4 linked regions of the Anolis sagrei genome follow. The protein of the gene in region 1 interacts with the protein of each later gene in a pairwise test. Links are inferred from orthologs where the notes say so. Each region holds a gene or a part of one and is shown in the gene's direction. Other genes may lie near its edges. The genes, in order: CPSF7, ARMC7, CLK2 and NCK2.

The links.
Region 2: the proteins of CPSF7 (region 1) and ARMC7 interact in binary tests that used the Homo sapiens proteins (3 or more experiments, as listed by UniProt). The two-hybrid records come from large-scale screens. The link is inferred for Anolis sagrei from reciprocal best matches to the Homo sapiens genes CPSF7 and ARMC7.
Region 3: the proteins of CPSF7 (region 1) and CLK2 interact in binary tests that used the Homo sapiens proteins (3 or more experiments, as listed by UniProt). The link is inferred for Anolis sagrei from reciprocal best matches to the Homo sapiens genes CPSF7 and CLK2.
Region 4: the proteins of CPSF7 (region 1) and NCK2 interact in binary tests that used the Homo sapiens proteins (3 or more experiments, as listed by UniProt). The two-hybrid records come from large-scale screens. The link is inferred for Anolis sagrei from reciprocal best matches to the Homo sapiens genes CPSF7 and NCK2.

The regions. Positions count from the first base shown.
Region 1 is NC_090021.1:236,184,298-236,192,052, reverse strand, and holds the start of CPSF7 (cleavage and polyadenylation specificity factor subunit 7), read left to right. Parts: upstream 1-4,739; 5' UTR 4,740-4,817; intron 4,818-4,826; exon of another isoform or gene 4,827-4,945; intron 4,946-6,543; 5' UTR 6,544-6,590; coding exon 6,591-6,644; intron 6,645-7,663; exon of another isoform or gene 7,664-7,692; intron 7,693-7,700; exon of another isoform or gene 7,701-7,755. Other genes in the region: SDHAF2 (succinate dehydrogenase assembly factor 2, mitochondrial), read right to left, coding at 567-676, 2,966-3,180, 4,598-4,618.
Region 2 is NC_090022.1:117,198,288-117,206,066, forward strand, and holds the start of ARMC7 (armadillo repeat-containing protein 7), read left to right. Parts: upstream 1-4,764; 5' UTR 4,765-4,866; intron 4,867-6,611; 5' UTR 6,612-6,615; coding exon 6,616-6,706; intron 6,707-6,822; coding exon 6,823-6,966; intron 6,967-7,779. UniProt on the Homo sapiens protein: As a component of the minor spliceosome, involved in the splicing of U12-type introns in pre-mRNAs.
Region 3 is NC_090032.1:7,780,381-7,787,381, reverse strand, and holds the start of CLK2 (dual specificity protein kinase CLK2), read left to right. Parts: upstream 1-3,993; 5' UTR 3,994-4,089; intron 4,090-6,882; coding exon 6,883-7,001. UniProt on the Homo sapiens protein: Dual specificity kinase acting on both serine/threonine and tyrosine-containing substrates. Phosphorylates serine- and arginine-rich (SR) proteins of the spliceosomal complex.
Region 4 is NC_090023.1:106,057,076-106,063,908, forward strand, and holds the start of NCK2 (cytoplasmic protein NCK2), read left to right. Parts: upstream 1-3,825; 5' UTR 3,826-4,233; intron 4,234-6,833. UniProt on the Homo sapiens protein: Adapter protein which associates with tyrosine-phosphorylated growth factor receptors or their cellular substrates. Maintains low levels of EIF2S1 phosphorylation by promoting its dephosphorylation by PP1.

The DNA.
Region 1 (7,755 bases):
CTCCCCAGATTCGAACCACTGATTTGTCGGCTAGTAGTCCTGCCGGCACAAGGATTTAACCCATTGCCCCACCAGGGGCTCCTCATTAACACTAACTATAGTTACCAAACTTTCTTATGGATGATTAGGAGGAACTACCACTAAATAAGATGGGTCTTGCTTACACATTTTTGTAAAACTAAATCCAAACTCTGTTAGGTTTCAGTAGTATATCTACTCAAATCAATAGGTCAAATTCATCATCACTAACTTCAGTTCCCATTAATTTAAGTTAATCTGCTTGAAGTCTGAAGACATCTGAAGCCACCCTTGAATGCTGAGAATTTACAACAATTAAAAGAGTGAATTTACTGACAATCAGCACTGAAAATAATACCAAAGATCTTAAAGGGCACGATCAATTGGATAACATATGTATGTCCCCCAACCTCCAAAACATGTTAACAGATAAGAAATAGAGACAAAAGTATTGTATGTACTGACAGCTACAACTGAAAAATAATACTTCATGAGACAGGAAATTTCACAAAAATCTAATGATCAGAAAAGGCACCATTCCACCTTACCTGTTGCCCAGTAGTAGATATCCCAGTCATTGCTGGGCTCATTAATCAGACGATCATAAAGATCCAGCTGTTTCTCACTCATTTGATTCAGATTCTCTTTAGCAAAAAGACTGGGGAACACAATAAGACACAAAGTAAATGAAATTGCTAAACATATGCCTACAGCCAGGAAACTGATCAAACTATAGACAAACAATATACCAAATAAAGACAAATCTCTACATTCTCATATGCCATTAAGAACCAAATTTGCAAAGAGATAGTAAAATGGACAACATTTTGTGGAGACATGCTGAAGTCAAAGAAGAGAATCGGAATATTTTGTATAGCAGGCACAACAGGTAAAAACAGAATTTGCTGCACAAAAAAGAGGACTGATACGAAATTAAGACAATACTGGCTGTATTTTCAGAGATTTTGCTTGAGAAGAACAAGGTCATTTCTGTGAAAATTGCCAAGTATTTTCAGCAGTAAAGTGCTCCTCATTACTGCTTCTTAAAGTGAGGGACCCGAACCTAAACGAAGTCTCCTTAGCTCACTGTGGGGTCCTGAAAAAATTGGTAAGAGTACACATTTTGAACATCACCTGATGGCTGTTTTAGACATTTTCATGAAGGTATTTGTGCAGTTTTTACAGTGGACTCTGCAGAAGATGCTTCAGCTGTTCTTTATAAAAAGAAAAATCATCCTGTTTAGCAAGCCTTGAAAATGCTGATTTGTTATTAGTGTTTGATTTTATGCTTATTTTATATACCTATATACCCAGGGTCACATAAAAATTTCTCAGGCCGAAAGCGGTCACTAATGGAAAAGTTTAAGAAGTTTTGGGTTACAGACAGGACTAGACTATAATGTTATTTTTTTTTTTAAAAAAAAAGTTTTAACATAAAGCATTAGTACAAATTTGTTAACATATTTGTTGCCCAGTAATTAATTAATATTGAATTGTTTGTATATTACTTTATTTATACCCTGCTTTTTCTCTCAAAGGTATGAATTTTATAGGACTTTCTTCAGCAAGGAATATTCAGAGGTGGTTTTGCCAGTTTCCTCCCTTTGAAATCTAGCCCACAGACTCCCATTGCTGGACTTGTGAGTTTGTTGGCACACTAACCAGTCTGATTCAGTTTAGCTTTTAAGATCAGATTGGTTATTTAGTGTGAATATCTAATGCTCTTTGAAAATGTAAGGGTGGTGAGTTACTTTATTAAAATAACTAAGCTCCGCTGATTATATTCATTTTCTCACCTTCCCACAAACATAATTCTAGGTTTTGAGGGAAATCAAGAGAAATCAATTTTAAAAAGCAGGGAGAGCAAAAGAAGGTGCAGCAAAGGGTTTTATTGCAAATTGGGGGGGGGGGGGTGAGCAAACGTTTGTGTGGGGGGGGGTTTATTTATTTTTGTGTTAGGAGTCACTTGAGAAACTGCAAGTCGCTTCTGGTGTGAGAAAATTGGTAATCTGCAAGGACGTTGCTCGGGGACACACAGATGTTTTACCATCCTATGGGAGGCTTCTCTCATGTCCTCACATGAGAAGCTGGAGCTGACAGATGGGAGCTCACCCCACTCCCCAGATTAGAACTTCCGACCTTTTGGTGAGCAGTCTTGCCGGCACAAAGGTTTAACCCACTGCGTCACAGAAAGAACCATAGAAACTGAGCCTCTTTATAATCTTTTGTCATTTCTGGTGCATGTCAGGAGGGCTATGAAGATGCATCTCCACTCGAAGAAGGATAGATTTCTCCAATAATCTGGTGCTGCTGCTCCCACTGGGGATAAATGAACTCCTTGGCACACTGTATTCATATGGTTCAAAGGCAGGAATCGGGGGATGTGGGGAAGGACAATGAGAACTGGGGAACAGAAGGATGCCCGGTAAGGTAGGTCTTGATGGTAGTTTACCTTAGAAGTCGTTCACATCGTCATTGGTCAATGTCAACTTGAAGATAGTTAACAACCAGTGCATCTACACTACAGTATTCATGCAGTGCAACACCATGGCTCAATGCTATGGAATCATGGGAGTTGGAGTCTTGCAAAGTCTAGAGCAGGCATGGCCAAGCTTCGGCCCTCCGGGTGTTTTGGACTTCAACTCCCACAATTCCTAACAGCCTACCGGGAGTTGAAGTCCAAAACACCCGGAAGGCCAAAGTTTGCCCATGCCTGCTCTAGACTTTGCATAACTACAACTCCCATGATTCCGGCTGTTAGGAATTGTGGGAGTTGAAGTCCAAAACACCCGGAGTGCCAAAGTTTGCCCATGCCTGCTCTAGAGTCTTTTCTGCCAAAGAGTACTGGTGCTTCACCAAACTACAGATCCCAAGATTCAGTACCATTGAGCCTGGGCAGCTCGCGCGGGACCAATCTGCGTTAATTCCACCACGTGGGGGCTCCCACCTGAGGAGGAGGCAGTTCTCCAGCATGCCCCTCTTGCGGCTCTCGTAGAGGAGCCGGGCCCGCTTGGTGCTGAGATCCTCCTGGGGTCGGGCCTGCCAGGGTGGCAGCGGGATCTCCAGCATGTCCCGCCCGGAGTCCGAGGGCGCGTCCCCACGGTAGCCACATCTCGGGGCGCAAAGGAGAAGGCGGCGATCCCGGAGAAAGAGGGAGACCCGCTGCAAGGAAGGGAGAACTCTACGTGAATGCCCGGTAGCTGCCGCTCACCCCACACAATTATTTATTTGGGTTGTTGTAGGTTTTTTCGGGCTATATGGCCATGTTCTAGAGGCATTCTCTCCTGACGTTTCGCCTGCATCTATGGCAAGCATCCTCAGAGGTAGTGGGGATGCTTGCCATAGATGCAGGTGAAAGGTCAGGAGAGAATGCCTCTAGAACATGGCCACATAGCCCGAAAATCCTACAACAATCCAGTGATTCCAGCCATGAAAGCCTTCGACAATACAATTATTTATTTGTTTATTTACAGTATTTGTATACCGCTTTTCTCACCCTGACAGGGACTCAAAGCGGTTTACGCATAAGTAATGGCAAAAATTCAATGTCAGTACAAACAATTACAATGATATACTACAACTAGCTGTCCCCTGCCACGCGTTGCTGTGGCCTAGTCTGTTGATCTGGAAAATAAAGTAATGAGAAAGTGTTGGTTTCCAATATATGTAATTTATTTCTGCTTGTGGGTAAACAGTATTTTTTGTTGTTTCTTTGCCAGTGTTGATGTGGAGATTGTCTGGTTTGCCTACTCTGGAACATGCAACATATCACTGTCCTTCTTTAGGGGTCCCTTTCAAATCTATGATACTATATCTGTGTGTGTGTGTGTGTGTGTGTGTGTGAATCATATATATTTATCTATATCTATGGCTGGATGGCTCTTTGTCAGGAGGACTTTGATTATGTTTTCTTGCCCTGATGAAGGGAGTTGGATTGGATGGCCTTAAGTATTTTCTGTTGGTCTTGGGGGTTCTGTGTGGGAAGTTTGCCCCAATTCTGTCGTTGGTGGGGTTCAGGATGCTCTTTGATTGTAGGGGAAGTATAAACTACAACTCACAAATGTCAAGGTCTATTTTCCCCAAACTCCATCTGTGTTCATGTCTGGGCATATGGAATATTTGTGCCAAGTTTGGTCCAGATCCATCATTGTTTGAGTCCACAGTGCTCTCTGGATGTAGGTGAACTACAACTTCCAAACTCAAAAAAACAAAAAACCAATGAACGAAATGTCAATGGCCACCAAATCCTTCTGGTGTTTTGTGCTGGTCATGGGAGACCTGTGTGCCACGTTTGGTTCAATTCCATCATTGGTGGAGATTGTAAGTAAACTATAAATCCCAGCAACTCCAACTCCCAAATGACAAAATCATAAATTTTTGAGTGATGGTCACTCCTTGTGTTGTGAGACGTTTTGTTGCCAAATTTGGTGTGATTTCGTTCATTGGTTCTTTTGTTTTTAAGGAACTCATTATGCACAGAGCATTTATATATATATAGATTAGACATTAATCAAATTAAAAAAAATACATCCATGAGCAATCAAACAATAAAACACCGGGCTTGGTCCAGCTTACTCACCCGAACTGACAGCGCCGCCATCTTGGCGCCTTCCCCGGCCGCTCTAGCCCTCCCTCTTGAGCATAAAGAGAGGCGAGCGCAGCCGGAAAGCCGACAGTGGTGATGGGGTTGCGCGCGCCGGGCCGGAAGAGGCGGGCCTTCCTGGAAGGAAGGGAGGGCGGAAGGGGCGGGGCGGCGGCGGCAGCAGGAGGCGCTCACGGAGAGAGGGAGCCAGAGTGAGGTTCGCGCACACGGCCGCTTGCGTCTCGGGCCTGCTGGGGATCCTGGGCCTTGCGTAACGGGCGCGGCGGCGGCGGCGGCGGTGAAGGAGGAGGAGGCGCAGGAGGCGGCCGCGCGGGAGGGGATGAGGTGCCGGCTCCGAGGGGTCGGAGGCGGCGGCGGTGGGAGGTTTCCCTGGGAGCGCGGGAAAAAAAGGAGGCCATGACTGGAGGGAGCGGGAGTGCGCGCGCAGCTATGGCGGCCTCGGCGGCGGCGGCTTGCAAGTGGGAGTAGCGGCGGGAGGAGGAGGAGGAGGAAGGGGGCCTGCTCGGCCTCTTCGCCCCTCCATTCCCTTCCCGCGCCCCCGCTTCCTTCCCCTCCGGGCCGCGCGGCTGAGCGGAGGGGGCGGGGCCGGCGCTGGGCCCTCAGCCTCCCGGGCCCGCCTTCCTCCCGGAATCGTTGTCCGACGGTGGCCGGGGAACTTCATGAGACCCAAGGGCCATCCAATCCAGCCTCCTCCTGCCACACAATTAAAGCACCCCCAACAGATAGCCACCCAGCCTCTACATATGCCTCCACCACACCCTGCGGCGGCAGCGTATTCCACTTTTACCGTCAGGAAGTTGTTCATAATGTTTAGGTGGAGTTAATTTCCCCGCAAGTTGAGTCCATTGCTCCCTTGCGTCCTGGTCTCCAGGGCAGCAGAAAACAAACTTGGTTCCTCCTCAGTGTGACATCCATTCAAATATTTGAACATGACTATTTGTCTCCTCTCAACCTTCTTTTCTCCAAGCTAAAGATACCCAATTCCTTCGGCTGCTCCTCATTGGTCTTGGCTTCCAAACCATTGATCATTGAACATGACCATACATCCCGAAAAACTTACAGCAACCTATTGATCATTTTAGTTTCCCTTCTCTGGATGCATTTTAGCATCTTGGTATCTTCCTTGAATTGTGATGCCCAGAATTGGAGACATCATTCCAGGCGAGATCTGACCAAAGCAGAATAGGTTCTGGCCCAGCTTACTTGTCCGAACGCATCTCCCTCTACATCCCGCCTCACAGTTTAAGATCATCCAGGGAGGACCTGCTCTTGCCCCTGCCAGCATGGCAAATACGGCAGGGACAAGAGACAGGGCCTTCTCGGCTGTGGCCCCCCACCTGTGGAACTCACTTCCCACCGAAGTTTCATCCCTCCTGTCTTTCAGGGTTGTGGTTCTGGGACCAGGCTTTTGGACAACAGACATAGATAGCAGTTTAATATGGAATTTGACTGGAATGACTATATGGCTGTTAATACTGTTTTTATTGTTTTTATGAATGTTCTATTTATTGTTTTTAATTGTTATTATATTGCTTTGTTATATGTAGTGGCATCGAATTGCTGCCAAATGTAAGCCGTCCTGAGCCCCCCTTCAGGGGTTGAGAAGGAACGAGGTAGAAATACTGGAAATAAATAAATAGAGTGGGACTATGCATTTGGTAGAGGTGGTGATGTGTGTTCCTCTTAGTCCTCGATCTCCAGCTGTGGTTCTCAACCTGTGGGTTCCCAGATGGTTTGCTCTACAACTCCCAGAAAACCCAGCCAGTTTACAAACTCTTCAGATTTCTGGGAGTTGAAGACCAAAACATTTGCGGTCCAACAGGTTGAGAACCACTGATCTAGATACGATGATCCTATTGATGCTGCCTAGAATTGTGTTGGCCTTTTGAGCACTAACTCTCCTCCTCTTCTCCCCTGCACAGTGTGCAGCTCTGCCTCCCCTGTTCTCCTCAGAGGCGCTCCTGAAAATATGTCGGAAGGAGTGGACCTCATAGATATCTACGCCGACGAGGAGTTCAACCAGGTGAGCCCCTGCCAAATGGGAGCGAGGGAGAGAAGGAAGGAAAGAAAGAAGGAAAATTTGCCATATTCAGAATCAACTGAAATTTCAAACAATACTGAGGACTTGTCTACAATAATCATTTAATGCAGTTCAAAGCTACCTTCAAACTTTAGTGATCAGACAACAAAAACCCACAAAACTTCATGAAAGAAAGCCCTTAATGTTCATCTGTGCTAATTGCCATTTGGACCTCAAACTGGTTTCATGAGTTCCTATTTAACCACGTTTCTCAATACAAATTTGAAACTGCATTAAATGATATTTGTAGATTCGCCCCAAGATTGGCTACATTTGCCTAAGAGCATAAAAATAGTTAATTGGTTCTTGGGAGAGTTCGAGCTTGATTTATCCTGGGACCCAGTGATTTATCTTTTTCATAGTCCTTGGCATCAATAGAAGACTTCTCAAGCACCACATTTCAAAAGAGTTGGTTTTCTTACACAGTGGATTTGATGCTCAGGAGGGGTTTCTCCTACTGTTAATGTAGAGTGAGTGAACTGTAAATGGTATGTTATGTCAACTTGTAATAAATGTTTTGATTTTGTTACTTGTGGTGAATCTTTTTAATGTAACAATGGGACTGAAGATATCCCTTACTTCTCAGTCAAAGGGAAGACTGCAGGTTTTTTTAGATGTGGGTTGAGAAGAAAGTGAAACTGGTTCAGTTTGTATTTGGGTATGAAGCTTCATAAATGGATTTGAAGGCTTGTTCTATGATGACAGCAGGCCAGCTTTCACATGAGTTTTTATTTGTATAGAGCAGTGGTTCTCAACCTGTGGGTCCTCAGATGTTTTGGCCTTCAACTCCCAGAAATCCTACCGACTGGTAAACTGGCTGGGATTTGGAGGCCAAAACATCTGGGGACCGCACAGGTTGAGAACCACTGATCTAGAGTAAAGTTGGGCTGTAGCCTGTCCTGTCAATAGTACCACGCTGACAAAGTGACAGAACTACAACACCACTCTGTTTTCTTTTACAGCATTTAGCTTTCATGCCTTAGAGTAGCAGGTAAGAGTACCACAATGCAAATTTGGCTTTCTACTTCAATGCTTGTTCATATCTTACATTAGG
Region 2 (7,779 bases), on another chromosome or scaffold:
TCTCTATTCCCCTTACAACCTCCCTTTTCTCAGTTCTACCTCTCGCTAATATAGTTTCTTTCCTAAAATTTGTGATTAGGTATACTGATACAATTGGCATTTTTTAATGAATCTCAGTATTTGGGATTATGTACATATAGCCCTTATTAAACTATTTTATTTAAACCTTTAAGCAGGCACTATAATTTTCTAGTGTGTTAAAATGTGAAAGAGAGAAAAAAAAGGTTCACACTAAACCAGTAGGCCTCCAGATGTTTTGGACTTCAGCTCCCAGTTCCTAACAGCTGGTATGAATTTCTGGGAGCTGAAGTCCAAAACATCTGGAGGCCCAACAGTTGGGAACCACTGCACTAAACTGTAATAAAACACTGCTTCATTTGATTGCTTTACCCTCAAGCTATTAATTTGTCCATGACTTTTTTCACTTAATACATTATAGTACCAAGTTTAATCAATTCTAAGGCATTGATTGTAAGCCGCATACTAATTTCAAGGTATGATACTAAGAAAAAAGAATTTTCATAAAAGTATCTTCTAGAATTTCTACAAATTAATTCTAAGAACAAAATAAAACCCTAAAATATATCTAACAAATATTTTTATTACTCCAATAGAATTAAATTTACGAACAACAATAGGGAAACAGATTAAACATAAACAATGCACACAAAATGAAGAAGGTATGGTATTTTATTCATCTCTTGCTTCTGAATCTGTATTTGAATCTGATTCATCAGAGTCTGATTCCTCTGACCCGTCTTTAGCATAATTATTCCATTATATATTGTCTTCTGACCCATCAAGAGCATTTGTGATGCAACATTTTTTAATGAGTCCAGCACTATTCTTTTGGGATTTGCTTTCAAGCTGTTGATACCCATTCTGCCAGTTTTATTGCTGGTGCTCTCTTAATTTTTCCAGAAGGTGTCAGAGGAAGTCTGTCAGTCATCAGCCAGGATTCGTATTCCTTTCTCAAATTATCCTTAAATGGTTTGTGGACTGAAATGTTGAGTGGCTGCAGTTGGATATTCATGCCATTAGGAATCACAATTAACTCACCACCCTTTTGCCTGGTTTTGTTTTTGACCTGGTTGGACAAATGTCCATGAAATGCATCAAGTATTTGAATGCTAGGTGGGTTATGAAGATTTCCAGGACGCCTCTCCCACACAACACTTAGCTGGTCTTTCATAAGCTCTGCTGTCACCCATCTATTTCTCTTGAACATACAATAACATCTTTGGGGAAAATCTTCTTTGTATGTTTTTCTGATTTAAAATTAAGTATGGTGGCAACTTTCTACCATTGGCAGTGATACACAGCATCACAGTGATACGCTGCTTTTCATAGCCAGGACTTGTAGTGTGGATATCTTTAGCACCTTCCGCATTGATGGTGTAATTTTGAGGGATATCAAAGAAGACTGGAGTTTCATCAGCATTTCCAATTTGACTGAACTCATATTTTCTTTGTTTCCTTAATTCAATCACATATTGCTGAAAGTTGATCAGCTTCTGTTGAAAGTCTGCAGGATTCTTTTGACAGACAGATGTTCATCAAGGGTAACTCGCTACGACAAGCGAGTCTCTCACACCAGCCCTGGCGGTCTTTAAAGATTCTGTCATCTAGTCTGAGGGACTTGAGAATTTCTATGGCTTTCAATTGCATGGTTTGTCAAGTGATTGGTAATCCTTTTGTGCTTGTCTGCTGTACAAAATGTATCACAGCTTCATCAAATTGTGGAAACCTTCCTTTTTTAGGTCCTATAAAGCACTTAGTTGATACTTTGCCCAAAAATATGGAATTGCGAGCATTTCTCCTGAGACAAACATTTACCTCACTTATATAAAAATGTTGACCTGTAGCTCTATTTCCATGCTTTTCTGCATATTCAATAACTTTTTGTTTGAATGTGGCTTCGTAGTGCAATCTTTTTGACATTTTGATGTGCAATAAGGGATCACAACAAGTGAAACACAGATCTGGGAACTTAACTTTTTACGTAGGTGGTTTTGGAGATAAAATCAAAACTTGTTCGATAATAGTGGCTGCATACTTATGAAGAGTGCTACTTTGTTCAAAATGGGCTTGTGAAAGCATTATCTGTGAAATTTGGACATGCCTTTCTGCCTAAGGTGGGTTGCCTGCCTAAAAATAAAATGTGTGCTCCATCAACAAAGTGCAGTAAAAGTATTTTTTATAAACGTGATTTTAAGATGCACCTGCGATGATAAGATGCATGATTTTGAAGACCACTATATGGAAAAAAAATTCACCTTACAATCAATGAAATACAGTAATTCATTTGTGTTACCAATTGGGTTTCAAACAGTGATTAAAAATACATGTACAAGAATCAGAATTTCTTGATTCTGAAACTCAAAGCAGTGAGTACACTAACATGTCTGTCCTTCTGTCTCTATTAATGAAGAAAAACACAATCAGCCCTTCATATGAATTACGTAGAATAGCGAACACTTGACAACCTGTAATCGGTATTTTGAGTCCCGCTCCAGAATTCATGTCCTTCCAGACAAATCACTTTCTCCAAGAAAATATCTTCTTCATTAGGATGTGACCTGCTGAACTGTACAAGCAATGAAGGCCAAAGCTCCTAGGTACCAGGAGTAATGAGAAAAGCCACCCACTCTGTCTAGGCAGCTCTCCTTTAGGGGCAAAGGCTGGCTAGGATGCACTTCTCTTCTTTGGCAGCTCAGCCAGTTGTTGCTGGCGCCTCTGCAGCACCTCCTGGCGCTTCTCCTCATAATACTGGAACTCCTGGGAACGAAGCTCCTCTATCTCAGGGAAAAAACTCCGTCTGTAAAAAACAGGCACACAGAGAGAGTTTGGTTAAAGAAACTAAGCACCCAGGGGCCTATTCCGCTCAAACGGAAACTCTTCTGAATTCATCACTATTCACCGCCATACTGCTATACGAGCACCAATAACGCTTAGCACTGAAGAGCTGAGAATGCTGGTTAACTGAGGGCCCATCCACACAGCCCTATAACCTAGCATATCAAGACAGAAAATCCCACAATATTTGCTTTGAATTGGGTTATCTGAGTCCACACTGCCATATAACCCAGTCCAAAGTGGATAATGTAGGATTTTATACAGCTGTGTGGAAGGAGCCTGAGTCCCTACTGTATTATTAGTATTGCTGCTGCACAAACTCTCTCCCTCATACGAAATGCTTCTGCTCTATAAAGGAGCCTTGAGGCACAGCTTTGAAATACAATGGGCCCTCAGGATGTCAAAAAGACATGAAAGTTCACATTCTATTATTCACAATTAAATTTACCTGGGAATTTTCAGATACTGTTTATATTTAATCCTGTTGTAATGCGTGTATATTTGTACTATTTTTTGAGCCCCTGGTGGCGCAGTGGGTTAAACCGCTGAGCTGCTGAACTTGCTGGCTGAAAGGTCGCCAGTTTGAATCCAAGGAGCGGGGTGAGCTCCCACTGTTACCCCAACTTCTACCAACCTAGCAGTTCAAAAACATGCAAATGTAAGTAGATCAATAGGTACCACTGGCACAAAGGTAACCCCGCTTCATTCAGTCATGCCAGCCACATGACCTTGGAGGTGTCTACGGACAACGCCAGCTCTTCAGCTTAGAAATGGAGATGAGCACCACCCCTCGGGGTTGGACACGATTAGATTTAATGTCAGGGGAAATTTTTACCTTTTATTTGTATATTTTAAATTTTAAATGGTTATGCTAATGCTTTTATATTAAGCCGCTTTGAGACCTCTTTGCAGGAGATAAAGCAGGAAATAATAATAATAATAATGTGCAATAAAATAGTGTCCCTTATGTAAAATCAAGGGTTGCTCTTCTCTTCTTTTTCATCTTTTAAAGATATTGTCAAACTGTGAGTGGTTGGATTCATGGACACAGAATCCGGTGGCACATTAATGAGCAACCCATTTAATGTCACACAAAGCCTGGCACAGGATTTCTGGTATGCTGGAGGTGGATGAAGTTGTACAACATGGGTGCCTCAAGGCCAGGACTGGGCAAACTTGGGCCCTCCCTCCAGGTGTTTTGGACTTCAACTCCCACCATTACAAACAGCCTCAAGCCCATTCCTTTTCTCCCTCTGCCGCTTAAGCTAAAAGGAAGGAAAGAAAAAGGAAGGGCCCTGAGGCCATTAGGAATTGTGGGCGTTGAAGTCCAAAACACCTGGAGGGAGGGCCCAAGTTTGCCCAGGCCTGCTCTACGGTCTACGCTGTAGAATGAACGCAGTTTGACACCACTTGAACTGCCATGGCTCAATGCTATGGGGTCCTGGGATGTGTAGTTTGGAAAAGCACCATCCCTCCTGGGCAGTGAAGGGTGAAGACCTTGTAAAACTACAACTCCCATGATTATCTCGCCATTGCAGTACATGTGGGATCACTACATTAGATGCAGGCAGTGCGTGGGGCGACTATAAGGAGAGGCCTGGCCCGGGCCGCACTGCTGCAACGGGACATGGCCGCCCCAGGGGTTTTGCTTGAACCCGGCAGCAGCCCGCCCGTCCGCGTCTCCGCACCTGAACACGAAGGCGGTGGCCAGGGCACACAGGATGCTCCCGAACAACAACGGCTTGGGCAGGCCCTTCTTCGCCATGGCCGAGAGCAAGCTGGTCGCGAAGGGTAAACAGAATCCGCTCCGCCCTTTACGGCCCTCGGAGGCTTCCGTAGCCGACCCTCTCAAGGCGGGAAGGAACGGGATTGCTTTTGCCCTTACAGAAGCCTTTCCGCCCGTTGTCAAACGTCACTTCCTGCTTCTGCTTCATGCTTTCCTCCCTCTCCTTTTCGGCTCTTGTTAGGCATCAAGGAAACCGAAGGGGATGCTGTCGCTTTCCTTGGCTGGTAAGTGAACTCAAAAACAATCCTTCTTCCTATGGTACATGATCCAGTGGTTCTCAACCAGTGGGTCCCCAGATGTTTTGGCCTTCAACTCCCAGAAACCCTAACAGCTGGTAAACTGGCTGGGATTTCTGGGAGTTGTAGGCCAAAACACCTGGGGACACACAGGCTGAGAACCACTTAGTTCTTAGGATAAGTTAAAATACTGTATGTATTCTCGGGTCAGGCTGTATTGTTTGGGTTCTTTGCATGTCATATCCTTTGATGAAGAAGGAAAGGAGAGGAATGGAGAATGCGATAAAACGTGCCCTGGTGGTGTTTTTTCTCAAATTTCATTCAATATTTTGTTTCCCATTGCTAAGTTTGAAATGTTATTTTTCTTGAACATGTTGTTTTAAATATATTTATTTGCCACATTTATATACCGCCTTTCTCAGCCCAGAGGCAACTCAGGGCGGTTCACAACTGGCAACAATTTGATGCCTCAACAATTATAACAATTAAAACAACAATAAAATAATGTTAAAAACATTTAGCATAAAATATAGGAATATTTTTAAAAACCGTACAAAGCCTTAAGAAACCTTAATAAAGCCTTAGGGATTTATAGGCGTTAATCTATAAATCCCTAAACGACTCCTGCCCCGTTTACCTGTCTGAACGTATTCTCCCCTATGAACCATCAAGATTGTTAAGATCTTCTGGAGGGGCCCAGCTCTTGGTCCCACCAGTCTCACAAGCGCGCCTGGTAGGGACAAGTGACAGGGCCTTCTCGGTGGTGGCCCCTCGGCTCTGGAACCCCCCCCCCCACTGGAGATTAGAACTGCCCCTTCTCTCCTGACTTTTAGAAAACAGGTGAAAACCTGGCTCTGGAAACTGGCATTTGAGTCAATAACTCATGGCTATATGGATGGATGGTGATGAACAACAATTTTATTGTGACAACTTGGCCATTGTAATTATATGATTGTATTTTGGTATTTTAATGTGTTAGTGTGATGTTTTTAAACGATTGCTTGTGATATTATTGTCGGAAACCGGCCTGAGTCCCTCCACAGAGGTGAGAAGACCGGTATACAAAAGTTCTAAATAAATAAATAAATATTAACAGTACTAGAAAGTTTTCTCTAACAAAGGATAAAAATGTAAAAATGTATATAGAATCAATAAAGCTGAAGTAACACTTCAGTGTAAGTAAATCTGAATAACTGCTGCTTCTAATAATAATAATAATAATAATAATAATATTCTTTGAGTGTACCAGGACTGTGACACAGCTGGCTGGAAGTCATCTGCATTGAGATCACTACTGACCAAAAGGTCATGAGTTCGAAGCCAGCCCGGGTCAGAGTGAGCTCCCGACCAATTTGTGTAGCTTGCTGTCAACCTTTGCAGCTTGAAAGAGTTGCATTTTTCAAGTAGGAAATTTAGGTACCGCTTATGCGGAGAGGCTAATTTACAATGCCATATACATCCCCAGCAAGCATGCAAAGAATGAGAAAGTACTTCATCAGTGTCACAAATGGATGGTGAAGCAACAGCTCCCCTGGTTGCCAGAATACCCTCATAAAGCTGAAAGGTTAAATGGCCTCTGTGTCTGTCTATATATGTTGTGTGTCTATGGCATTGAATGTTTGCTGTGTATATGTACATTGTAATCCGCCTTGAGTCCCCTGCGGGGTGAGAAGGGTGGAATATAAATACTGTAAATAAATTAAATAAATAAATAAAATTGTCTTCTCCATCAGCACTATGTCTGAAAAACAGAAGGACTTGCTAGGCCTGGATCGACTGGAATACCTGCAAGCATTGGTCACCGAGTTCCAAGTGTCAGAAAGTTCTGGTGAGGAGAACCTACTCATCTCTTCCTCTTTGGCTCTGGGTTTCTGAATGCCTTGCTCCTCTCCATCGATTGTTTCCTCATCTTAAGGCATGCATTTTTTTTTTATTATATTGCAGAAGCCAAGGAGCAAGTGCTGGCCAATCTAGCTAACTTTGCTTATGACCCCAAGAATTATGTATACCTCCGGCAACTGAAGGTTCTGGACCTCTTCCTGGATATGCTCACTGAGGACAATGAAACCCTTGTGGAATTTGCACTTGGTAAAGTGTGGGTTTAAACTAATCCTTGCTGGAAATGAGCCACAATTTATAAACTCCTAGCCCACAGGAAACTCACCTCTGCCCTTGGAATCAGATTCCCTAATTGATTTAGCAATAGATAGAGGTGCCATAAAGTCAGCCAGGGACTCAGGACAGAAGGCTGAGTTCAGAAAGGTTAAATAATTCCACTTGAAGCTATTTTTACCTGTTTGAAAACATGTCAGCATGGCTATAGGGCAGTAGTTACGATTGTAGGCAGGGAAGTTTTATTATACAGGGTGTTTCAAAATGTCAAAGTAATATAGTTCATGTTGGCAACATGGTACAATGACATAAAAAGTTACCAACGGGTTGATGAGTTATCAAGTTTTACTAACCATTTTTAGCCAGAAACAAATTTAAAACTCTAACTCATTTAGTGGAGAATATCTCAGTGGTTCCCAAACTTTTTTTTGACCAGGAACCACTTTGATCAGGGACCACACTCCAACATTAGTACTAAAAGGGTTATGAATCAGTTTTTGGTCAACTTTAGATTTGGTTTGGTTCTAGTTTCTGATACAGAACATATGCCATCCAGTAGTCGCTATCTGCTTGCCCAAAAAAAATCCATATTTAATAAGCCTCGGTACTATTAAGAGGGTTTTGCGAGACCAGTCGCTCCCATTTCAACGGTGTGGTAATGGTGAGACAGTAAACCATATTTTAGTTCTTGCGTGCCACTGGTGATCCACGGACCACAGGTTGGGAACCACTGCATTAGATCTTACATCGCAAGCTCACCATCTTGCGAATGAATGAGGCTAGGAGCTG
Region 3 (7,001 bases), on another chromosome or scaffold:
TTTCCACATAATCACCAGACAATTGGATACATTTCTGCCAATGATGTACAAGTTTTCTGAAGATGAGAGTAGTCACCAATGTCTCTAAGAGCCGCCATAAGAAAGAACTCATTTGAAAGACTGTCATAATATTGGGAGGCAAGCTCCATCTGCTGGCCCTCTTGGTGAATAGTTCTCGAAGGACTTACCCCCAAAAGTATGGAAAATAAGTATATTTATTTAACAGTGTAGACCCCATCTCAAGGATGGAAATGGTGGTGGGAACATGGTCCAAAGCTGCCTCGAATTTCATTTGGGGAGAAAAGTAGGATGGAAATGAAATGATCACACCAGTAAATAAAGATGAGGGTTGAATGAAAAGTAATGCCTCCAGCTTTGTTAGCCCGAAAAAACCTACAACAACCCTTTGTTACCTGAGTTTGGATGGGAATATTTTAATAAATCAAACTCAAAAATAATCCTGAGAATGTGCTCTTTAACTACCACTATTCACTTTTCCACATAATCACCAGACAATTTGGATACATTTTGTTTTGTTTTGGGGTGTAATGTCACCTGTATGCAAATGATGTTCAACTCTATCACTCCTTCCCACCTGCTACTAAGGAGGCTGTATACCACCAAGAACTTTCTACAATTTATTATGATCCACACTGTCAAAGAAAACCTTTACCTTTACCTATTCTTGGGTATCTGAAGGCATAAAAATATCAAGAAAAGATAAACATTAACATTAAAAATAATCTAAAATACAACTTACCTGTCCGAACGCATCCCCTCCTATGAACCAGCTAGGGTGTTATGATCATCTGGGGAGGCCCTGCTCTCGGTCCTGCCTGCGTCACAAGTATGAGAGACAGGGCCTTCTCAGTGGTGGCCCCTCAGCTGTGGAACACCCTTCCTACAGAAATTAGATTGGCCCCCCTCCCTATTAGCATTTCGGAGGAAAGTGAAGACCTGGTTATTCAAGCAGGCATTTGAATAGTGTATTGAATATAGGAATATGGAACAATGGATTATGAGATTGGATCTTGATTCTACCTATGAGACGCTAATGAGATGTTATAGTTATGTTTAATTGATTGTTTATTATGTCATTTTTTAAAGTGTTTTTAAACTATTTTTATGAATTGTCGAAGGCTTTCATGGCTGGAATCACTAGGTTCTTGTGGGTTTTTTCGGGCTATAGAGCCATGTTCTAGAGGCATTTCTCCTGACGTTTCGCCTGCATCTATGGCAAGCATCCTCAGAGGTAGTGAGGTCTGTTGGAATTAGGACAATGGGTTTATATATCTGTGGAATGGCCGGGGTGGGGCAAGGAGCTCTTCCCTGCTGCAGTTAAGTGTGAATGTTTCAGCTGATTACCTTCATTAGCATTTGAAGGCCTGCCTGAGCCTGGGAAAATCTCTTGCTGGGAGGTGTTAATCTGTGCCTGGTTGTTTCCTCTCTGTTGTTTTGCTGTTGTAATTTTAGAGTTTTTTTTAATACTGGTAGCCAGATTTTGTTCATTTTCATGGTCTCTTCCTTTCTGTTGAAATTGTCCACATGCTTGTGGATTTCAATGGCTTCTCTGTGTAGTCTGACATGGTGGTTGTTGGTGTGGTCCAGCATTTCTGTGTTCTCAAATAATATGCTGTGTCCAGGCTGGTTCATCAGGTGCTCTGCTATGGCTGACTTCTCTGGTTGAAGTAGTCTGTCATGCCTTTCACGTTCCTTGATTCGTGTCTGGGCAATGCTGCGTTTGGTGGTCCCTCTGTAGACTTGTCCACAGCTGCATGGTGTACGGTAGACTCCTGCAGAGGTGAGAGGATCCCTCTTGTCCTTTGCTGAACGTAGCATTTGTTGGATTTTCTTGGTGGGTTTGTAGATTGTTTGTATGTTGTGTTTCCTCATCAGCTTCCCTATGCGGTCAGTGGTTCCCTTGATGTATGGCAGGAACACTTTTCCTCTGGGTGGATCTTCGTCTTGACTCTTGTGGCTTCTTCTCAGTTGTCTTGCAGCTCTTCTGATGTCTGAGGTGGAGTCTCCATTGGCCTGGAGAGCCCAGTTGAGGTGGTTCAGTTCATCTTGGAGGAGAAGGTGGGCTTCGCAGATTCTTTTTGCACGGTCTGCCAAGGCTTTAATGAAGCTCCACTGGCTGCCGATTTGCTACCGGACCCAATTTAAGGTGCTGGTTTTGGCCTACAAAGCCCTAAACGGCTCCGGCCCAAAATACCTTTCGGACCCATCTTGGCCTACGAGCCCACGAGGACCTTGAGATCGTCTGGGGAGGCCCTTCTCTCTATCCCGCCTGCCTCACAGGCACGTCTGGCGGGGACGAGAGAGAGGGCCTTCTCGGTGGTGGCCCCCCGGCTGTGGAACACTCTCCCTGCAGGCATCAGACAGGCGCCCTCCCTTATGTCCTTCCGAAAAAGCCTTAAGACCTGGCTGTTCGAGAAGGCATTTAATTAAGTGCTATAACAATGTGGTAAAGATGACTGGAATGGAACAAGGAATATGAGATTGGTTATGATTCTACTATGAGACGAAGCGGATTATTTAGTGTAACTTTGTAATTGTTATATTGTTAAGATGTTGTTGTAATTGCCTTTTTGTAAATTGCCTTTTTATATGTGTTGTACACCGCCATGAGTCGCCCTAAAGGGCTGAGAATGGCGGTTAACAAATGCATCAAATAAATAAATAAATAATAAATAATGGTGCTTCTTTTTTGACTTGGGTGATGGTTGGAGTTTTTATCTAGATATCTATCTGTGTGTGTGGGTTTTCTGTAGACGGTGTGACCCAATTGTTGATCTGGTTTGCGGATAACTAGGACATCTAGAAAAGGCAGTCTTCCTTCATTTTCCTTTTCCATGGTGAACTGGATGTTAGGATGGATGCTGTTAAGATGGTCCAGGAACCTGTTGAGTTCTTCTCCTCCATGGCTCCAAATGGTGAAGGTGTCATCCACATATCTGAACCATATCGTGGGCTTTTTGGTTGCTGTCTCCAGGGCTTGTTTTTCAAAGTGTTCCATGTAGAAGTTAGCTATGACCGGGCTGAGAGGGCTCCCCATAGCTACTCCATCTTTCTGTTCGTAGAATTCATTGTCCCACTGAAAGTAACTGGTGGTGAGGCAATGGTGAAACAGAGCCGTGATGTCTTCTGGGAACCTCTGGTTGATGAGTGCCATGGTGTCTGCTACCGGGACCATGGTGAATAGAGATACCACGTCGAAGCTGATCAGTTTGTCCTTGGTATTTAGCTTGAGATTGCTGATTTTTTTTCTTTCTATGAAGTGGGCTGAGTCCTTGATGTAGTGTGTAGTGAGCCCAATATGGCTTTGTAACTGTGCCGCAAGAAATTTTGCTAGGTCGTATGTGGGGGATCCAATGGCACTCACGATGGGTCTGAGTGGGGTGGAGTCCTTATGGATTTTTGGGAGTCCATAAAGCCTGGGTGGATGGGCTTCCGATTTACATAGCTGTTGTCGTATGTTTATTGAGGAGTTTTTAATCAGAGTGTTGGTTTTCCTGGTATTTTTATGAAGTTGAGCACTGAATTTTGCTATTGTATATAAATAAAGTAAGTAAGTAAATAAATAAAATATATGCCTGACATAGACATGGGCAAACTCTAGCTCTCCAGGTATTTTGTAGTTGCAGTCCATGTCTGGCTTAACATATTTGAAGCTGCAGAATATGTAGCCTTTGAGAGAAAGTTAGAAATAGTCCCGCAAGTTCGGACAGGCGTTTAGTCAGCTTTGCATCGCTCTATGTCCACAAGCCCAATACCCTCCTATCTTCACCGCTCGCTCCGCCTTCTCCCGTGACGTCACGGCGCATTCTTACGCCGGCCCCTACGTGGCGTCGTTCGCCCCGTACGTGAGCGTTTGCTGCGCATGCGCTTTGTCCTTCCATTCCCCCCCACCCGCTCCTTCAGAGCAGCCGTCTCTGGGTTTGAGGAGGGGGAGCAAAAGAAAGGCTACGGTGGCGGAGGAGGAGGCCGGAGAGGAGCGGAGGAGACGTGGCCGCCGTGGCCGCCACTGCAGCCGCCGCCAAGACGGACTTCTTGTGGGACAAGCGGACAGGGCTGGCGGCCAAGAGGGTGCGGGAGTGCGCATGCGCGGCGGAGAAGAGGGGACCCCCTGGAGTTGGGCCCATCCCCCCCTTCCCATGCCTCTTGGCTTCTTTTCATTGGTGGCATCTAAGTGGTAGTCTCCTCTGTGCTTGGGTGCAAAAGAACTATAGTAGAGATCTAATCTGGGGAAATTAACTTGCAAATGGAGATGAGTAACCTAACCAGGCCTTTTGGAAGACAGGAGGTGTAGGCCCCATCTACACTGCCATATAATATTGTTTGAATCTGCGTTATATGGTCAGTTATATGGTTAGGAAAGGCAGGGAACCAATTAATGCATTATTATAATGGGTCGTTGTAGGTTTTTTCGGGCTATATGGCCATGTTCTAGAGGCATTTTCTCCTGACGTTTCGCCTGCATCTATGGCAAGCATCCTCAGAGGTAGTGAGGTCTGTTGGAACTAGGAAAATGGGTTTATATATCTGTGGAATGACCAGGGTGGGACAAAGGACTCTTGTCTGTTGGAGCTAAGTGTGAATGTTTCAACTGAGCACCTTGATTAGCATTTGATGGCTTGGCAGTGCCTGGGGGAATCTTTTGTTGAGAGGTGATTAGCTGTCCCAGATTGTTTCCTCTCTGTTGTTTAGCTGTTGTAATTTTAGAGTTTTTTCATACTGGCAGCCAGATTTTGCTCATTTTCGTGGTTTCCTCCTTTCTGTTGAAATTGTCCCATACCTTATGTCAGTGGTTCTCAACCTTCTTAATGCTGTGACCCCTTGATACAGTTCCTCATATTGAGGTGATGCCCAACCATAACATTATTTACATTGCTACTTCATAACTATAATTTTGCTACTGTAATGAATCATAGTGTAAACATCTCATACGCAGAATGTATTTTCATTCACTGGACCAAATTTGACACACATGCCCGATACGCCCACATTTGAATACTGGTTGGATTGGGGGGGGGGGGGTAGATTTTGGGGTTAGGGTTGCTGGGATTTATAGTTCACCTACAATCAAAGAGCAGTCTGAACTCCACCAGAGAGAGAATTGGGACATACTTTCCACACAAAATACCCATGACCAACAGAAAAGGGTTTGGCATTGGCCTTGAATTTTGGAGTTGTAGTTCACCTACATCCAGAGAGCACTATGGAAAATCAGGGAAAATACACTTGCAAATGGAGATGAGTAACCTAACCAGGCCTTTTGGAAGACAGATGTAGGCCCCATCTACACTGCCATATAATATTGTTTGAATCTGCGTTATGTGGTCAGTATAGAGACTTGTTGAACCCTTAGGAAAGGCAGGTAACCAATTAATGCATTATTGTAATGGGTTGTATGGCCATGTTCTAGAGGCATTTTCTCCTGACATTTCGCCTGCATCTATGGCAAGCATCCTCAGAGGTAGTGAGGTCTGTTGGAAGTAGGAAAACGGGTTTATATATCTGTGGAATGACCAGGGCGGGACAAAGGACTCTTGTCTGCTGGAGCTAGGAGTGAATGTTTCAACTGACCACCTTGATTAGCATTTGATGGCCTGGCAGTGCCTGGGGGAACTCTCAAAAGTCAAGGTCTATTTTACCCAAACTCCACCAGTGTTCACCTTTGGGCATATGGAATTTTTGTGTCAAGTTTGGTCCAGATCCATCATTTTTTGAGTCCACAGTGCTCTCTGGATGTAGGTGAACTACAACTCCAAAACTCAAGGTCGATGCCCAGCAAACCCTTCCAGTATTTTCTTTTTTTTAAAAAATAATATTTTATTGAGTTTTCTAAAATACAGCAAAAGAGGGGGAATAATTCAAGAGGATAGAAAAGTAGGAAATTTTAGGAACCATAAGACTAAACTAACAAAGTCACACAAATCCCAAAACCGAAAATCAAAGAGAAAAGAAAAAAGAGAAAAAATCACAAAAACAAAAATTGGACTTCCTTCCAATTCTGCCCGTATAGTCACTTCTTTTAGTTCATATCTTATATATGTTCCAATTTATCTCTTCATTATATCTTCAGCACAATTATGAGTTCTTATATCTAGTTTCGATATGGTAGTCAATTATTGACCAATCTGTCTGTTTGGGTGGATTACCTGTATTCTTTTTTAATAAAAAAGTTGATGTATCCATGTCCTTAATTTCCTTCAGCTTCTTTATCCAGTGGAGTTTGTCTGGTAATTCTTTCTGCTTCCAGAATTTCGCAAAGACAATTCTAGTGGCCGTTGTCCCCCTTCCAGTATTTTCCATTGGTCATGGGACTTCTGTGTGCCAAGTTTGGTTCAATTCCATTGTTGGTGGAGTTCAGAATACTCTTTGATTGTAGGTGAACTACAAATCCCAGCAACTACAACTCCCAAATGACAAAATCAACACCCCAAAAATCCACCAGTATTCAAATTTGGGAGTATCGGATATTTGTGCCAAATTTAGTCCAGCGAATGAAAATACATCCTGCATATCTGATATTTACATTACAATTCAAAGCAGTAGCAAAATGACAGTTATGAAATAGCAATGAAAATAATGTTATGGTTGGGGATCACCACGACATGAGTAATTCTATTAAGGGGTCGCGGCATTAGGAAGGTTGAGGACCACTGGTATAGTGCAATATAGTAATATCTAATACTGATATTGTACTATGCTAATAATATAATATATTGTATGAAAACATATCTTGTAAGCCGCTCTGAGTCCCCTTCGGGGTGAGAAGGGAGGCACATAAATGCCGTAAATAAATAAAAAAAATAATGGCCACTTTGAGTTTGAAAGTGTATGCCTGTGAACTTAGACTCGTCTCCATATTTGCAGATGCCTCATTCCAGAAGGTTCCGCTCGTCGGAACGCAGCAGCCGGGGAAGCTACTACGAACGTTACAGAAGCCGCAAGCACAAGCGGAGGCGGAGCCGCTCTCGGTCAAGCAGCAGCGA
Region 4 (6,833 bases), on another chromosome or scaffold:
AAAATTAAGGCAGCGCTTCCTATTCTAACCGAACCAGCATGTTAACTGCAGAGAAGATTTTAAATTCAAACAGGACATAATTCAGGACATAATTCAAAGCTGAGAACGTTTTTTTGTTTCTTTCTTTTGATGTGGTTTTGCTTATTTTCTTTCTCATTTGCTTTTTAGAAATACTGATGGATGTCATGCAAAATAACAATAAAAATTTATAGCGGAGGTGGCTGCATGCTAATCTCTGGGGTCCCCATGAATCTTGGCACCATCAAATAAAATTTTCTAACAACAACTTTTGATTTCAGCTTAAATCTGTTGTTAAAATAATAAATATTTTAAAAGAAAGGACATAACAAAGCAAAGGGAGAACTGGACACCCCTTCTATCTCAATGGACCCAAATAGCCATGGCTGTGCCTTGTGTCAAAATAACTCACTGCGCAGATCTTCAAAGGCATGAAGAATGCTGAAGGTGGCCAAAGGAGATTCAGGTCAGCTTCACAAGTTCCTTGGTTAGCTTTGAAAATTTGAGCTATGGTTTACCTTAGCTTCCCCAGATTTCCCAATTGTTCTTCTCTTCTATTTTTTTGGTTATGTATTTAATGTTCCTCCATCTACCTGTTCCCTCAATCTCTCTCTCTCTCATCCTGCCCAAAGCTCTGGTAATGAAGGGAGTGAGAAAAACCAGTATGGAACCAGTGAGACAGCCTTACTTATCGGAATGGGCAGGATCCTTCCACCAGCCATTGCACATCACAATAGGAAAAAAATAGTTCCTGGCTGTAGTGCTCAATGCATGCAAATGTGCTCCTTGTAAATCCTTGCTCACATAATACAGGCCAAGCATTCTTTATCCAGAAATACAAAATGCTCCAAAATCCAATGATGAATTGGCCCCCAATGCTTAACCAGGGATCATCCAGATGAGCGCTTCCCAGACTTAGTCCTCCATTATCTTTAGACCTTTGCTTCCAGAATTCCTGACTTTTGGCCAAGCTGGCTGGGGCTTTAGGGAGGTGAAGTCCAAAAAAAGATGGAGGACCTAAATTGGGGAAATATTAGTCCAGACTAACATGGCCATGGCTGTGTTTACACTGCAGAATTATAGCCGTGTGACAACTTGAACTGCCATGCTATGTCATTTTGGGATGCGTAGTTTTGTGTGATATTTACCTCTGATTGAAAGCTCTGATGCCACAACAAACTACAAATCCCAGAGTTTACAAGATGGATTCATGACAGTTAAACTAGCATCAATCTGTTATAATTCTGCAGTGTGGATGGTTCCCAGCAATCCCCATACCTTTTCAGTCATGGAACCCTGTTGAAGACAACTACATTCTGTGGAACCCTAACTCATCCCTGATTTGTTTAATCAAAATATATATTCTGGTTAATTTTACGCTAATTGAAATACGTTTATCAAGTTCATATATAAACTCTAGTTTGGGAGCAAATTTTACTCTTGATGTTTTATGAATAATATCCCAAATGTCTTTTATTTTTCAGAATATTTAGTCCAGATTTTTGACTAGGACCAACTTTGTGGCACAATTACAGGGCAAATGGATCTTGTAGCACCTTTGAGATTCACTGAAAGAAAGAAGTTGGTAGTGTAAGATTTCATAGATTTTTATCTACTCTATCAGTTGCATGAAGTGAAGGAACTGACAACTGGAAACAAGAGGAGAAAGTCTAGCAGAGTATTCAGCGATGCAATTTTGTGCCTGATACTATAGCCTTCTGTAGTGTCAAAAACAAAACAAAACAAAACACTAGAGTATTTTTTTTTCAGTGCTCCAACGTGTTAGGGAGGACAGGACTGCATATTCCATATTTCTTTCACAATATTGCTGTTCCGTATTTCTGTTCCACATTTCTTTTACAATATTGTTCATTACTAGTGTCTATAATTGCATTAATATTAGTTTATTGATATGTACACTTTCAATTCTTTATTAAATAAATAGAAGTGAAAACCTAATAGGTAAAAAAATTGAACCAAACCACCCAAATACAAGTTGAACATCCTTTACAGGGACAGATATTCCAAAACCAAAAAACTTCTAGATACAACTTGTACTGTTACACACTGTTAAGGTAAAGTAAAGGTTTCCCCTTGACATTAAGTCTAGTCAAATCTGACTCTGGGGGGTGGTGCTTTTCTCCATTTCTAAGCTGAAGAGCAGGTGTGTTATTTATCTGTTTGCGTATTTACAATAATAAAACCTTAATTTATTTTATTCTGAAAAAAAGTATTCAAAACAAAACAAAACTATCACGATACAAAAAGAAGCAAAGGTTTTTATAAGATACATTACTGAAACTGCAGCTGGGGGAAATGGCATTGAATATTTGCCATTAGTATGTTGTAAACCGCTTTGAGTTCCCCCAGGGGTGAGAAAGGTGGTATACTAATAGAGTAAACAAACAAACCACATTTTGGCACCACTTTCATGACCATGGCTGAATGCTATGCAATCCTAGGAGTTGTAGTTTGGTGAGGAACCAGCACTCTTTGTCAGAGAGGGCTTAAGACCTGTACAACTATAACTCCCAGCACTCCACAGCGTTGAGCCATGGCATTTAGAGTGGTGCCAGAAGGCAGCATCCACTCTTGGGCACAGGAGAGACGCATCCTCCTGTTCGGGCTTTTCTTCCTCCCTGATGGGCGGCTTCGGGAAGGCGGTACTTCCACCTGGGACGTCACGGCGGCCACCCAATCGGCTTCCTCGGAGCCCCTGACGCGTTCCTGAAAGTTCCCTTTCCTCTCGGGTGGCCCTTCTGGGAACGGGAGACGGGTTCTATTTTTAGCCGGGGGGAGGGGAGGGGGGGAGGGAGAAACAAAGGAGGGCCACTCCACCCTAGCCTGGACCGGGCATCCGAGGTGAAGCCCCCCGCGAAGCCCTTTCGCCCTGCCAAGGAGGAGATTCACCTGGCAATACCCAAAAAACAGTGATCTTTAAAAAGTTGCATCTACACTGTAGAACTATTGCGGGTTGGAACCCCTTAGAAGCCCAATGCCTCAAAGCTGTGGGATCCTGGCAGCTGTAGTCCTACGCGCTCTTTACCGAAGAGGAGGGGCGCCCCGTAAAACTAGATCTCTCTTGGCACTGAGTCCACGTTAAGCTGCATTCCTTCTATGTTGCCGATGCGGCCTAAGCCTCGCGAGCGTTCCCTGTCCGAAGCCTGAAAAGAAGCGTTCTTTGAGCGCACAAAAACAGCCGGGAAAAGGCCTCACAACCTCTGAGGATGCTTGCCATAGATGTGGGCGAAACGTCAGGAGAGAATGCTTCTGGAATGTGGCCACACAGCCCGGAAAACTTACAGTGATTTTGAACCATGAAAGCCTTCGACAACACTAGTCGAAAAAGAGTTGCTGCCTTCCTAGAATCATAGAATCCTAGAGTTGGAAGAGACCTCATGGGCCACCCAGTCCAACCCCATTCTGCCAAGAAGCAGGAATATTGCATTCAAAGCACCCCTGGCAGAGGGCCACCCAGTCTCTGCTTAAAAGCTTCCATAGAAGGAGCCTCCACCACACTCCCTCCGGGGCAGAGAGTTCCACTGCTGAACGGCTCTCAGGAAGTTCTTCCTCATGTTCAGATGGAATAGTCTGAAACTTGGAGAGAAGAGGGGCGCCTACTCGAGATGTCCCACGTCAGGCCACCAAAGCGGGCCGGGGGCTGGTGCCACCTCAGGCCGGGAACCTCCTCGTCACACTAAGGAGGGAGGGAGTGTAGGCGTGCCCCAAGTGAAGGCCGGCCCTGTCCCTTCCTCCATTGGGGAGGAGGAGGAGGAGGAGAGGGCTGGGCCCCGCCTTTCCCTCCCACTTTCTGAGGGAAGCCGAGGAGGAGGAGGAGGAGGCTGGCGATCCTGGGCCTCCCGTCGCCGCCTTCCCCGAGCGGCAGGAAGGGAGGGAGGGAAGGAAGGAAGGAGGGCCCTGACTGCCGCCTGGGTGGAAGGGGAGGGGCCGGAGCCGTTGCCGCGGGGCTGAGGCGGAGGGAGCTGCCGTTGGGCCTTAGGCGCGCCGAGCGACGGAGAGGAGGAGGAAGGAGAAGCGAAGGGAGGCGGAGGAGGAGACCCCCCTCTCTCTCCCTCTCTCTCCCTCCGCCGACGCCGCGGAGACAAAAGAGCCAGCGAGGGAGGGCAGCCTCCTCTCCTCCCTCGGCCCCCCCTCCTGCCATTCTCCTCCTCCTTCTTCCTAGGGAGCCCACAGAGAGGACAGCCCGCGTCCCAGGTAGGAAAGAAACGCCAAGGGGAGAGGAAGGGGGCCGCCAACTTGTGGAGTTGCCGAGGGGGAAGCAAGGCACGCAGGCAGGAGGGAAAGAAGAAAGAAAGGAAGGCGCCCTCTCGTCCCGGGCCTGGCCTAGCCAGCGCGCCCGGGTGGAAGAGCCAGGCAGGCAGGCAGGCAGGAAAGAGCCGCCCTTCCCTCTCCCAACACTCCAAGCTTTGGCTTCTTTTCCCAGGGAGGAACAACCCGCCCCCCCCCTTTCTCGAAAAACCTAAATCAGGAGATCCCCCCCTTTTGTTATAGATCACCCCCACGTTTTCTTTACCGATTCTCTCCCCACTCCATTTTAACCCCCCTTTTTCCCTTCCATTTCTGGAGCGTGAGAGGGAAACTATTGTTTCAGAGGGCTGGCTGCCTCTTTCCTCCCAAGAAAGGAGTTGGGAGGGAAAGGAAGAGAAGGAAGGGAAGGAGAGGAGGGAAGGAAAGGAAGGGGGAAGGGAAAGTAAAGAAGGGAAATGAAGGAAAGAAGGAAGGCTGAAGAGGGAAATGAAGGGAAGGAAGGAAGGAGTGGAAGAATGGATGAAGGGAAAGGATGGAAGGAAGGAAAGGGAAGGAAAAAGAGGAGGGAAGGAAGGGGTTTGTTGTTGTTGCTGCTGCTTTTTTTCTTTACAGAAATGATAAAAGGGAGAGAACTGTTCCAAAGGGATCCTGGTCTCTTCCCCTAATCCTGGAAATTTCCCCAACCGAAGTGGGTGGCCAAGGGGTTTGGTCCCCTCGGGGAAGAAAGCAGGAAGGGGCCAAAGGCTTTGGTCTTTCCCCCCAGGGCCCCTTCAGCTGTGGAGATTTCCTGTTTGTGTGTACAGGGAAGGGGACTGAAGTCCGTATTTCTGGGCTCCATTGTGGAGGGAGGGGTTTTTTTGGTGGGGGAAGTGGCAAGGAGGAGGGTTTTGGGGGCGTGAGTGGGAGCCATCCGGAGGGAGGACTGGAAGGCTGTGCCCACCCACCCCATCCAACCTTGCCCCCCTTTGGGGTTTGGAGGAAAGATGGAGCAGCACTGGCACATGATCCTGGGTTATTACATGTTTTTATTTTTTTCCCCCTTGGCCAGACAGCTGCTGGATTGTATCAGGGTGGGGAAGGGAGGCATCTCAGCAGGATCCGTGTCTAAAGAGGGCCATGCTCCTCCCTTGTTGTTTTCTTACATCTGTGAAATACCATCCCTGACCTATCTTTCCTGGTGGTTGTTCTAAAGCGCTCTGTAAATGATGCGTGTTGCTATTATCTTGGGCAGAAAAGCACCTCCTGTTTTTATAATCAGATCTGATCTCTTTCTCTGGGTGAATGAGAATTATTGTGACTTAAGTTAGAAATTTTAGGGGGCAGAAAACATTAACCACTCTTCTCTTCCATGTGTTAACTTTGTGTCCAGAGTATCCCCCTGGATCTCCTTACTTCCCTGAAATCTGTGTTCTTTGTTAGTTTCTCACCTCGAACCATTTCCAATTTGATGCAGAGGTGAGCCCAGGTGTGCTCTGCAGGAAGGTGCAGCCAATCGGGACTTCTTGACCAGCCCACCTGTATGATGTACCTGCCCACTGCATCCACACCTGAAATCTTTTCTTTCTGATACAGGGTGATTGAGGGTTGTGGAACCTTCTAAGATACTGAGGGAGGCAGGGATTTTCAGTGCTGGCAGTTTCCTCTCTCTCTAATGATGTACATTGCTGCATGTTCAAATCCCAGTTTCCAGGAGAATGGTGGCATCATTTTAGTATCATGTGGGCTGCTTTCTCTACCATTTAAACACAAGAATAGTGACATCAGACACATCCCTTGCTGCACATCAGGCTTCCTGGACTCACCTTCCTCTTATGATATTTTTTTTTTGTTTTTAGCTGCCATCAAGTTCACTTTGAATTAAGGCAACCCATGAGTGAGATACCTCCAATATCAATAGCCCTGCTCAGGTTTTGCAGGTTCAGAACTGGCACTTCCTGGTTGAGTCCATCTTTCTGAAATAAGGTCATCCTCTTTTACTAGTGCCTTCTACCTTACTAAGCATTGTTTTTCTTTTCTATTGAATCATGTTTTCTCATGATACGGCCAAAGTATGACAGTCTTTGTTGTCTTCTGGGGAGAGTTGAGGCTTCCTTTGTTTAGAACCCTTTTTTGGACTTGTTTAGTACTTCATATCATTATTCCTTTTCAATATGGGTTCTGGACCTTTGCTAGAAGTTGAAGTGAGGAGAAAGGAATACCACAGACTTGACTTTGAAAGATATGTAATTGGGCCCCTGAACCATTTCATGAAATGAACATTACCAAAGTAGATCTGTTTCTCTTCTTTCCACTGTGCCTGTGTCCATCACGGAGAGGGATTTTTTTTTAAAGCAGTGATTTTGGGGAAATAATAATAAAAAAAAATAATACACTTTATTTATATTCCACCCTTCTCCCCTAGGGAACTTTGAGCGGATTACAGCATCTACATACATAGGCAAACATACACATATATATACTCACATGAGTGGATGCTGATTGTTTTCCTGGATCGTGGAAGGGCTAATGTGAATAAATACTGCAGCACTGAAGAGTATATCCCCTTC